Rhinolophus ferrumequinum: one gene and its partner. The protein of the gene in region 1 purifies or fractionates together with the protein of each later gene. This does not show direct contact. Links are inferred from orthologs where the notes say so. Each region holds a gene or a part of one and is shown in the gene's direction. Other genes may lie near its edges.

Region 1 (6,274 bases):
TTGTGTCATGTATTGGCTGAACAATTCATGTCCTGTCATAATAAAGGCCATACTCACAGGCTGTCTGCAATCCAGCCTCTGATTACTCTAGATTCTAGACCTGGGACAGCCAAGTGTTTAGTTCCCTCTGTGTCCCATCTGAAGACAGTCCTCAGCTTTTAACTTCCAGGATTTCGCTCTCTCTGTGGAAAACTCTTTTCTTCTTACTCCATCAAGACCCACCAAAAATCCTCCACAGACCCATCTTTCAAGTCTCATCTCTTTGATGAAAGCCTTATTAGAGTGAACACAGTTTTGGCTTCCTGATAAACACCGTATTTGTACCCCACATATAGTACTGAGCACAGTGGGCTTGCTATTCTAGCAACTATGTCCTTATCTGGTTCATTTACTGTCAGGCCATAATGCAACCGCAGCATGCAAATGTTTGTACAATTGAATTAAACTATTGACCTGAGGCCTACCCTTTTATTTGCCTCTGGTCCAAAGACATGAAGGTAATTACACTTAGTTTAGGTTTGTCATAGATTCACAGGAAATTTTTATCAGCCAAGGGGACACTGTTGCACTTGAAATTTCAACTCCTTTTTAAGGGAGTTGTGAACTTTATGAACAGAGTAAAAAGGAGATGCCCTTTGCCCTGGGAACACGTTTCTTTTGAAATAATTGCAAGACAAAAAACAAAAAAAAAAGGAACTGTTAAAAAAAATTTGTGTAGAAAAAGCCTGATTTCATAAAACTGTTACAATACAGAGCAACAGAGTGAATTATACAAAGAGAAGGCCTAAAAGATGAAAATATCAGTGGAAAGCAACTCCCCTGGATGGTCCACTCTCACAGAGGGTTGAGGGGAGTGTGAAGCTTGCAGGGGGGGGGGCGGGAGGGCGGGGGGGGGGCAATGTAACAACAGTACCAAAGCTTTAAAAACACTCACCCTCTATTAAGCCAGTAACTCCGTTTTTGGGAACGTGGTTTAAAGAAATGAAGCTATAAAGATCGTTGCACAAACATGTTCATCCCAGCATTGTTTGTCAAATGGGGACAACTCAACCCTCGGATAATAGAGGAATCCTTAAATTATGGTACATGTACATAATGGAATGACTAGTAAGCAGCCATTAAAAATGTTCTAATGATTCAGTATGACTTCACAATGCTGTTTAAAACATGTTCATTATGCATATAAAGAAACAACTGAGCAGAAATACACCAAAACATTGGCACTTGAATGGTCTGCTAACTGAACATTATCTCCAGAACTTGGTATTAAGTGATGAGAAAAATTCTGCGATGCTACAAATTAAATTATAACCGGCTGGAAAGTGAGCAAAAGAGAACAGTTAGCTTGTTAGTAGCTGGGGGCCAGCTAACAAGACTGCTCACATTCCTTAGTGTATGTTGGAACTTTTAAGTTCCAGGTGGCTATTTCCACAATTATCTAAAAGACATAATAGCCAGGTGCCATCAAACCGTCCACTTCTTGTTTAAGTATGAACTTTCTAGACTGTTGCCCACCACTAATCCAAAGAAGCAAATGCTTCTTCCTTATGGATTCAGTGCCTACCCTAGAGCTAGCTCTGCAGCACCTTCTCCCACCAGCTTTATCTGTAGCCAGTGTAAATTCTTTCAAAACAACCTACATCTTTCTTCCCCAAACTGTTTCCCTAAAAAAGCCGGTTGACACCATGTTGCCTTCTCCACCTGGCGCGGCTGCTGGTGGTTTAGAATATATGCCCCGGGCCCTGGTCATCTTTTTTTCTAGCTAGCAATGACCCAATAAACCCTTTCTTTTAAAATGACTTTCAGCCGTGGAAGTTAAAATTTCTGTTCAACGAAAGCATAGGATATAGTAAGTGCTCAACGCATTAAAAATAATAGAAAATGCATACGCAACGGAAGAAAATTCAGCACATTTGGGGCTTAATATACCTCGGTTGTGTCTGAATAATGGTACGGCCTATGGTCTTTATAGTTTTGGGTTCCGAATTTTCTAGAAGTGCCTGTCATCACATAAGTTACGGTCATCACACAGGATGGACAGACAGACCAACGCCCTTCTGCGGGCCTCGGGCAGGAGCAGGATGGGGCGCCGAGAACGTGGCCCCTGGGACTCAGGGCTCCTCGGACCCAGCGCCCCTCCCCAGGCCGACGCCCGCAGGCCACGACCGCACCGCGCCGTCTGCGCGCAAACATGGCGCCTCGCTCGCCTCGCCGGAGCCGAGCGCTCCCGAGCGTCCCCGAAGCCGGGAGGAGCCGGTGAGCGCGCCGGCAGGAGCGCCCCGCCCCGAGCTTGGGAGCCGCGGCGCGGGCGCGGGGGAGGGGCGGCCGGATGTGAGTGGAGCGGCCATTTCCTGTTTCTCTGCAGTTTTCCCCAGCTTTGGGTGGTGGCCGCTGCTGGGCTTCGGCTTCCCGTTGGCGGAGGGCGAGGCGGCGTGGACAGCGGCCCCGGCACCCCGCGCCCTGCCGCCCGCAGCCGCGCGCCCGCCCGCCTGCCGCGCCCCGCGCCCGCCGCTTCTCGTCTCAGCGCCCGGCCGCCGCCTCCGCGGCCCAGCGAGCGGCCCAGATGCAGGCCATCAAGTGTGTGGTGGTGGGAGACGGGTGAGTGCGCGGCCCGGGGGCGGGGGCCGGGGCCGCACGGTTCTGGGGGCGCAGCGGGGGCCGGGCGGGCGGGCGCGCGCGGGGCCTGGGCCTCTCCGGGCCGTGGGCGGGGGGCGCGAGCCGCCAGCCCTCCCTGGGACCCCGCGGCGCGCGCCGGGTTCTGGCTTTTTCTCTCCCTTTTTGGTGGGGGAGGGAATCGCCGACGGCGGCCGGAGGGAAAAGTGAACTCCACCCTCCGCTTTCTCCCCGCGCCCGCTGACCGCGGGGCCGAACTTACCTGGCGCCGCGCCGCCAGCCTCCTTCGTTTGCCTGTGGATTACGTGGGCTTAGAGAGTTGCCTTTCTCTTAAAAGGACCTTTTCTTGGCTTAGATTTAACCTCTCGAGCCCCATCGGGAGCTTCCGTGCGTCCCGGCGCTCAGGTCGGTCGTCAGTGACCAGAATTGGCCTGAGCTGCTTTGGGGACCCTACGCTGGTTTGCCAGGGGGGATCTTCCACTTGGTACTTCGCCACTTTTCGGATTTTTTAAATGATTATTTTTGCTCTTTCCGTGGAGAAAGTTTTAAGGTTCTAGCTGCGAGGAGCTGGGTGTGATTGAGACGGTTCTTTCCTCCGAGCGTGGTGTGGTCCTTAAAAAAAAATTGGCCTTCGCTTCTTGCGTTAGGTATGGGATGTAGCAGAACAGGCTCCCTGAGCCGAGCGGCCCTGTGACTCAAGGCGTTTCTTTTCATTACTGTCTGTGGTGGTTACAGGCCCTAGAGGAAGACAAAACTTGTCTTATGCAGTTGTTTTTCTCCCATAGAAACAATCTCATTGTAATCCGAGCAAAATTGTGTCTCAGCATTGCTCGAGTAGTTAAGCGTAAACAGGGAAGCTCCAAGAATTACTACCAGTTTCGTCCAAGTCAGAGTGCAACTGGTACATTTTTGGAGTCGGGTGAAGTCGGACGAAGAGTTCTGGCATCACTGTGCCTTTTGATTAATATTCCCCAGTCGTGTCGTTAGGACTGGTGTAGCTTTTATACCTCTCAGTGAGTTTATGAATTCTCAGCTTATGTCGGTCATTGCAAAGTAAGACATTTGAAATTGTTTCTGGAAGAAAAAAAAAGTCACTACTGATAATTCAGTATCTAGCCACAGTAATATTCTTATTTGAAAATTTCTAAAACTAAAACATAAGCATAGCAGATATATTTAGTTCATAACCTACGGAGTGGACCTCTACTGTTCCGATTGGCTTATCTAGTCAAATACTTGTTGAATGCCTGCTATGGGATCTGGATGGTTCCTTCAGACCCACACCCCACCACTTCTGGGGAAACCCTGAGCATATCACTCATCCCCCAGGAGAGGTGTGGCAAAGGGAAGTGGTGACGATTCAGCTGGAAGTGAAGTGCCTCACCGTGCGGGCCCCTGCTGAACGCTTTATACGCGCCAGCGGCGTGTTATTAGGACTGCTGTCTGTGTTACTCTGAGGCGCTGCTAGGCTCTGGAAAGGGAGTATTAGGCAGAAAATAGTTTCTGGACTTGAGTTTTTTGAATTTTGTAACACTGTGTTTGACATTGATGTTGACTAGGGCTGAGCGATATTAGTGAAATGTACCTTTACAAAAAAAGTTTCAGCTGTATTATTTAAAATAAGGGACAATAGGTAGCAAACATTACTTCAGTGCAAAACTTAGATACCTAGTTTTACATACGAAAAATATTTTTCTGCTTTTACCCAAATAAAATAAATTCCTGGTGATACAGTTAGAATGTTCTTTTATTCAAAAATTGTTGGGGCTGGCCTGGTGGCTCAGGCGGTTGGAGCTCCATGCTCCTAATGCTAAAGGCTGCCGGTTCGATTCCCACATGGGCCAGTGGGCTCTCAACCACAAGGTTGTCAGTTCTGAGCTGTTGCTGTGAGCTCCCGAATGGCTCAGTTGGTTGGAGCGCATCCTCTCAACCACAAGGTTGCCGGTTCGACTCCTGCAAGGGATGGTGGGCTGTGCCCCCTGCAACTAGCAGCGGCAACTGGACCAGGAGCTGAGCTGCGCCCTCCACAACTAAGACTGAAAGGACAACAACTTGACTTGGAAAAAATCCTGGAAGTACACACTGTTCCCCAATAAAATCCTGTTCCCCTTCCCCAATAAAATCTAAAAAAAAAAAAAAATTTGTTAAAGCTGTTAACTGTGGACCTAAATTTTGTGGGGCTGAGAAATCAGTTAATGTTGTGTGGACTTTCAGGCCGTTAAGGGCAGGTTAAGCAGTGAAGGCAAAATAACCGAGGTTCCACAAATTGGAAGCTTCCTTTGAAAATATTCTTGGGAATTATGGTTAAAGGCTATGTCATGTTATAATTAGGGTCAATTAGCCTATATTCTTCTAATGGATATTTCCTATGTGGCAGTTTGGCATTGAGTGTAAAATATGACATAAATTTGGTACTTTTTAATTCTAAGACAGTCGATCCTAAACACAGGGTCTGTCACTTTTATTTGGGTGACCTCTGCCCCGAGATTTTCTCTCAACTTCACTTAGGTAAGACAGCATCTCACATTCAAATATTGATAAAGAACCATTTTTAATAGTGTTGTTTTGGCTTTGGTTTATTAGAAGGCTGGGAGTGAATGACTTGAAGCCCTCATTTCTCTCACTATAGAAACTGGTGTCCAGATGGGGCTAGTGGTCCCTTTAGCCTTTAGGACAGATATTGCTGTCCAGGAATTTCTTTCCTTGAGCAAGGTAAATGGCCTTCCATGATGTCATCTTTATAGGAGTGTGTGTCCACCAGTTACTCTCCACTTCCATTGAACAGTCAGCGATAGCATGCTACATGAGGCTGTTTTTTCCCCCCTTCTTCTGCCACCCCCCATCCCCCCCCCGTCTGGTTCAAGCCATTGTTTCTCTGTCTAGTTGGGTAGGACACAGCTCCCTGGCCCATGCTGGTCTTATGAGCCTTGCGCTCCCCTGGCTGAGGCAGTTGGTCACCAGTAGTTGGTCGGCCGCTCACGGCAGCTCACGGTAGCCCACGGCAGCACACAGCACCCATGCTGACCTCCGGCAGCCCAGCTCCAGGGAGAGCCGTTGTTCACAATCTTAGCTGTAGAGGGTGCAGCTCACTGGCCCACGTGGGAATCGAACCTGCGACCTTGGTGATAGGAGCACGGCGCTCCAACCACCAGAGCCACCTGGCTGGCCTGAGTTTTTTGTTTTAAGCTTCATGAATTGTCTGTATATTTTCATCTTGAGACAAAGGTTCCATATTTTTGACTTTTTGTGAAGGTGTCTGAATTCCACGCTGGCTTCCAAATTTAGGTTTGGTATTTCATTTTAGTTGGTAAAATTATACATAGTGCTTTTTAAAAATGTTTCAAACGATAATCCAGTTAAAAGATTGGGATTTGGTTTAGTGGAGGAGGACCAGGAGTCCATTTTTAGAAACCTTAAATTCACCTTTTATGATGTTCTTGTCTTTTGCTTTAGTCACCTCATGTCTCAGTCCTTCCTACTTTTTCACTTCTACATCACCAGGTAGCTCGCTGTCTTGTAATTGTAGTCTTTCTAGAAAGGAGATGTTTAATCAGGAATCCTGCTATTGATTCCTGATTGGCAGTTACCAGATGCTATCAAAAGGAATCCTTTTCCTCTGACATCTTAGTGTGAAAAATTTCGAACATACGGGAAAGTTGGA
Region 2 (6,274 bases), on another chromosome or scaffold:
TCAAAAGCTGCATGAGTAGAATTTTATAACTGAATCACTGTAAACTATATGTGGTGGACACAATATGTATTCTACTATAAATTCTTCTGTAAAGCCAACCACACTCCTCCTTTAGTTTAAGTATTTTCCAATTTGGATTTTCCAGTGCTTACTTTCTTTACAGGGGTATCATCATAATTGTCTCAATAAAAAAATAATTATTCAGAAACAGATATGTAAATTTTGCTATGTGTAAATTATATCTCAGTAAATCTGATTTTTAAAAAGTTATATATCTATGTTCACAATTATTTAGGCATACTAGTCTAGGCATACTAGGTAACTTTACTAGCTAATTTTCTAAGATTACTACAAATGTGAAGCTATTATCTACTTTCTACATCTCTCTGAAGTCTTATAATAATTTTAATAATCTCTGAATATGTTCTGGAGACAAACTACTTAATGGAAGTGAAACTGTTTGAAAATCTTTAGTACCATAGGAACTGTGAAGATTATGCTTTATATGATGAGGAAAATAAAATCTTCAATCATGCATTTTAAAATTTAGTTTCCTAATCATTTAAAAAATGTTATACTTTTCCAGAAAACTACAGCAGGTAAAAAAATCCTGCTGTAGCAATTTTTAATAATAACTTTATAGGATGATTCACATGGTATGACATATTCAAAGACTGAAAAACTTTAAGGAAATATAAAATGACATATTAATTATAATTGTCACAAAAATCATATATCCATGGCAAAGTATATGCTTATTACTCACATATTATAAGGCACTCACACTATATACTACACATACAGGAAAACTATGAAAGGGTTGTATCTTAGTAACAAAATGCTTTTGATGTAAAATGTAGAGAACTGCAAAAATTGTGACTACTTCATCTAGAACTAATCTCTTTTACAATAGACAAATTCCATTCAGTCTAGGGCCAATATATCTAAAAATTAGTTATACTGAAAATTGAATAATGAGATCAGTATCTACAAAGTTCTTCCTCTATTGGGTCCTCTCTGAGTGATAAGCAGCTAGAAGCGCTCAAGTTCATATGGAAACATGATGGTGGCTTTTCTTGAGGAGGAATAGTTGCGTTTAAATTATAATATGGTGCCATTTTCGTTCCTCTATGTAGCACTTTTGTAAAACTAGAAAATGATATAACCGTTCATTGATGGTGCTCTGTCATTTTGTCTCTAGTTAAATTTCTTTGCAGTCTCCTAAAAGAGCACATCTTTCTCCCAACATTCAACACTTTTCAGTTTTCTTGTCTGGTTGCCCCAAACCCTTACACAGCCTGGCTTTTCCCAGGTGTGCTCTTATTACCTCAAGCTCCAAATGCTTGCTTCCTCTAAATTAAAAATTTAACTATCAGGTTGGAAAGTAACCAGATAAATTAAAACCACAATGTGCTATTGACTAATGATAGCTCAATAGGTGATCTCTTTGAAGTGTTTGCATTAAAAAAAAAGAACTCTTTAGGTACAAAGCATTCACTCAAGGTAATGAAGTTCTATGTATAGAATTTCAAGCACAAGCACAAGGTCAGGTATGACTGACTTCCTGGACCCTCATGCCTCTTAAATCAAATCCACTCAGTCCACTCCATTTCTCTTATTGGGATATTAAAACGAAGATTTCCGTAGGAATAATACATACACTAGCTTTAAAGAAAAGTTTAAAAAGCTATATCACCATTTCCTCTTCATATTTTGATCAATCCGATGATAGCTTATTTACTCTTAGAATGTCTTTTATTGAAGGTGGCCGAACATTTTGTCATTCACTTAAAATTAATGAGGATAATAGAAAAGGTTAACACACCGAAGGAAATTAAGCCAAAAATATCGAAGAGGCTTGAATCCTCTTGGCTGGAATTCCTAACCCCAGTCGATTACTTAAGTCCTTGATTTGTTCATTTTTGGAACGATTTCTCATAGATTTGACCACAGGGAATAATAGCTTTGGCGTCTAACAGGAAAGAAACTCATGGGGGGAAGAAACCAAGAGCTAGAAAAGTAATAGAATGTTCCCAAGGAGGGGTGGGATTTAAGGTGGAGTCCAGAAAAAAAAAGGGGGGAGGGTTCCTTCGTTCATTGAACGAACATTTATCTTTCGCCTCGCAGATACTAGGCCCTCTATGTTCGCGTCTTCTCCGGATGGGTGCTGCCCGTCGACAAACTCCGGATTCCGATTATCTCAGAACTTGTGTCGCCCTCACTTCCGATCTCCTCCCTCCCAAACCGCCCTGCTGCGGCGGAGTTAGGATGGGATGGGAGGATGGGAGACGCGAAGCCCGCTCCGCAGAGCACAACTGCTGTGTGCAGCGGGGAGCGTCTGTCAAGCAGTGGGAGGAAACAGAGCTTGGAGCCACCAGCCCACTCGAAGGCGAAACTCTCCTGAAACCCGCACCTCCTCCCCTCCCGCCCCCAGGCTTCTGCTGATTTCTTTAGGGAGGTGGTGCGGCAAGGCAACTTTTGGGAACTTGCAGGAAAGGGGTGTGTGGCGAACTGGGACGAGCGTAGAAACGTGACCCTTCTCGATCCCGGCTGAGGACTCCCACGCCCGGCGCAGCGGGCGGCCCCGGCCGCTGGCAGACCCGCGCGCCGTCGCAAGCGGCCGCGGAGCGCAGCCAGGCGGGCGGGGCGAACGAGGGCCCCTCAGGATCAGTTCCCGGTCCGGCCTCGCGGGGGCGCCGGCGCGGCGATCAGGTGACCGAGCGCTCGGCCCGGGCTGCGGGAAGCGGCCTCGTTCTCAGCCGCCGGAGACGCTGCCGCCGCTGCCGCCGCTGCCGCCACACCTAGTGGAGGAGACGGGGAAGGCGGCTCGGTGGGGGCTGGGGCGGAGAGCGCCGGGGGTGGGGACGGAAGGGCGGCGGGCGGAAGGCAGGAGGCTGCCGGGGCGCGGGCTGCTGCGGGGAAGGGACCCCTAAGCGTCTGCCGCGGCTCGCTCTGTCACTGGAGCGGAATTGGGGCGCACGGGCATGGGCGCGCTCCCCTGAGGCTTAGGTCGCGGGTGGGAGGGGAGGAGGCCCGAGAGAGGTTGCGGCGGCCGCGGGCCGGTGACTGGGCGCGAGGAGGCCGGCGGCGGCGGCACCACCACCACCACCACCACCACCACCATCACCATCACCATGTCGCGCTCGGTGCTGCAGCCCAGTCAGCAGAAGCTGGCGGAGAAGCTCACCATCCTCAACGACCGGGGCGTCGGCATGCTCACCCGCCTCTACAACATCAAGAAGGTGCGCACCGGCTGGCGAGGCCTCGGCGGGGGCGGCGGGCGGGCGGGCGGGGGAGGGAGGGACAGCGAGGGAGGCTCGGGGGTGGGGGCGGCGGGCGGCGCCCAGGGCCGAAATCACGGCGTCGCGGCCTCAGGCCCGGCCCGAAGTCTCCGGGCTGCGCCGCGGCCTAATGCGGAGTCCCGGGCGCCTCCCCCGATGGTTCGCGGGCCGGCCGGAGGCAGTGAGAAGCCATTTCCCGGCTCCCAGTGGCGGGATCCGGCCGGGCTTCGCACGGGGTGAGGGGCGCCGCTGCCGCCGCCGCTGCCCTCTCCCCGGAATGGGGTCATCAGGAAAGGGAGGGTGGTGGGTGGGCGAGATGGGAGGGGGGCACTTGGGTGTTCTATAACTGAGGTGGAAAGGTAGCAATCTGGCGGAGATGGTAGCATTTTTCCCCCCCAATTTTTTGATGTCTAAGTGTGGGAATGTGGGAAGGGAACGGCTAATCAGGATGAACTCCGCATCGTCTTCACTTTGCCGCTTTATTTTAGATTGCTAAATAAAAGCCATGTGAGAGCGTGTTGACGATTTGCGTATTTCATTTTGAAAGTGGTTCATTTTGAAGGTGGAAAGAAGTGGGAAGTGAGGGTGGAACCAGTTTTCTTCCGAAATACTTGTGGGCTGTGAGTCACTAGAACAGGAATAACAACCTTCTCTCCCTTCCCTCTGTTCTCCTCCTCATCTTAATTTTTCAACCCTGTCTCATAGTGCCAAAACACCATTTCTTAAAGTTCGGGGTCTGTCCAAATTAAAAACTGTAAATATGTTGCCATTACCGCTGATTCATAGTATATTCTGATAATTTAAATAGTTATAATGGGTTAATAGGCCTATGGAAAGTCTTTACATGGATTCAGCAGATTAAGAAATGGAAGGTTGAATTGGAGTTAAGAAAAACAGATGTAAAGATAGAACAACATATTAATTTATATTAGGAGAAAACAACCAAAACCTTTTTCCTTTTAAGAGAAGTGTAGTAAGTTTTAAAGAATTTGATAAAGTGAAAATTAAGGAGTTTTTTGGGTACAATATAGATCCTTAGTTTCCAGTATGTATTTGATGTCGTATCTTCACAATTATTTTTGTTGGCTTTTTAATCTGTCATGAATATTTTCTTTTAGTTTAACCATAGCTATAGAATTACTGTGTTTGTAAATTAGGGCTGCTGAAGGAAGAATATGTTTTTGAAATTTATATCGTGGAGTTTAAGTATAAAACTGATTTATTTCAACAATTTGATGCAGACATGGTAATTCTAAAGGAGAATACTGTCTTGGGTTAAGAGTAATAAATCCTATATAAGGATTGCTGTGTTCAGGTGGCTCACCTGAATGCCAGATTTGACCCTACATCCAGTGAATTCTGGAGAGTAATTGCAACGTGCCTCCTCAGTTTGTTATATTTTATGTGGCAGGAGCTCAGTGTCATTACAAAGAAGCCTTCTGCTTTTACCCAAGAGCCTTAGTTATAAATTTATGTTGGTTGGGAATAATTTCATTTTGGATAGTGTTACTTATAGGTTGCATTGACCTGAACTTTTTTCCTGAGATTACCCTCTAACATTTGTGGAAATTCAAACATTACTAAAAGTTACTAGACCTGTGGTATTGTGGTTAAAGGAAATGGTTATGATGGTTTCTAGAAGAGGAAGTGAGAGTAACATCAAAAGTGATTTGAGTATTTGGGCAAGGTATCTTTTTAAGCATTCATTAAACATGTATAAACAGGTATAAATACAATCAAACTTTACATATTCCATCTTCATAAATAAATAATACTAAATTGTAAGCATTTGAATTCTTATAATTCCAGTTTACTGCTTTTCTCAAAAGCATATATATGTTTACTTCCTGTTTTGAGAAACTTCAAGCTCCTATATTGTTGAACTAGTAAAATTAAAATGAATATAACCATTATATCCAAGAGTCAAATATTATGTTATGTTTCAGCACTTAACACATTTATAGTTTGTTGAGAAATATTTTGTCTATCTTGCCTGATTTTGAATTCCCTCTGGGCAGGGACAGTCATACATTTTTGAATTTATAGTACTTTGGACCTTACCTGGTCCTCATGGCCTTCAGTTAGGCCTTGTTGAAACAGATACTATGTGCGTGTGTGTGTATATAGTTATAGTTATATAGATAGTTATATACAATATATATTTAAAAATATAGCATAATATATATATTTACATGTGTGGTTTTGTTTTGTTTTCTTTTGTTTTGTTTTAGTGTGTTTTTCCAGGACCCATCAGCTCCAGGTCAAGTAGTTTCAATCTAGTTGTGGAGAGCGCAGGTCACAGTGGCCCATGGGGGGATCAAACCGGCAACCTTGTTAAAAGCATTGCGCTCTAACCAACTGGCTGCCCCAATATATATGTAGTTTTAATAATAATAGTTTTGGGTTTGCTCTTCCTTGTGTAATTTTGCATACAAATACACCAGATTTGACTCTTTCAGCCTATGTAGAGGTGTCTATAATACTGGCACATCTTCCCGGCTGGCTAGGGATTGAAACATTTGTTCAAAAATCTTGCCCGAAAAAATGAGTAAGATCTGTTCACCATGTGTTTATAAGGTTCATGCTGTCTGCATTTTTATGACAGTATAAACCACATAATCTTTTCAATCTTAGTCTCTTATAGTTAAAAAAAACAAAGACCCTTCCACCATATAATGCGTGTCTGCCAAAAAAAATAACAAAGACCCTTCCACCATATAATACATGTCTGCCAATCAGTTAACCACATTTTTATTAATGCATGTATACATGAGATTGTCTACCAGATATGAATGCTCTATTTCAAGTAGAAGTCGGCAATGGAAATATTTTAGTGAGCATACACAATGAAAAATATTTTACTGACCTACGTAAAATAACTTCATAAGTTATTATAATGAAGAATAATATGCTTTAATGTCATTAGAGGGAATGTAACATAATTACTGAAAAATGTTTAGCTTGTTTTAAGAAGAAAATTTCATCAGTCGGAA

What was found.
Region 2: the proteins of RAC1 (region 1) and NCKAP1 purify together in Homo sapiens (pull-down; 4 studies listed by BioGRID and IntAct, with this or other methods). This does not show direct contact. The link is inferred for Rhinolophus ferrumequinum from reciprocal best matches to the Homo sapiens genes RAC1 and NCKAP1.

Annotation. Positions count from the first base shown.
Region 1 is NC_046307.1:41,102,626-41,108,899, forward strand, and holds the start of RAC1 (ras-related C3 botulinum toxin substrate 1), read left to right. Parts: upstream 1-2,366; 5' UTR 2,367-2,563; coding exon 2,564-2,598; intron 2,599-6,274. UniProt on the Homo sapiens protein: Plasma membrane-associated small GTPase which cycles between active GTP-bound and inactive GDP-bound states.
Region 2 is NC_046291.1:43,732,123-43,738,396, forward strand, and holds the start of NCKAP1 (nck-associated protein 1), read left to right. Parts: upstream 1-2,110; 5' UTR 2,111-3,134; coding exon 3,135-3,242; intron 3,243-6,274. UniProt on the Homo sapiens protein: Part of the WAVE complex that regulates lamellipodia formation. The WAVE complex regulates actin filament reorganization via its interaction with the Arp2/3 complex. Actin remodeling activity is regulated by RAC1.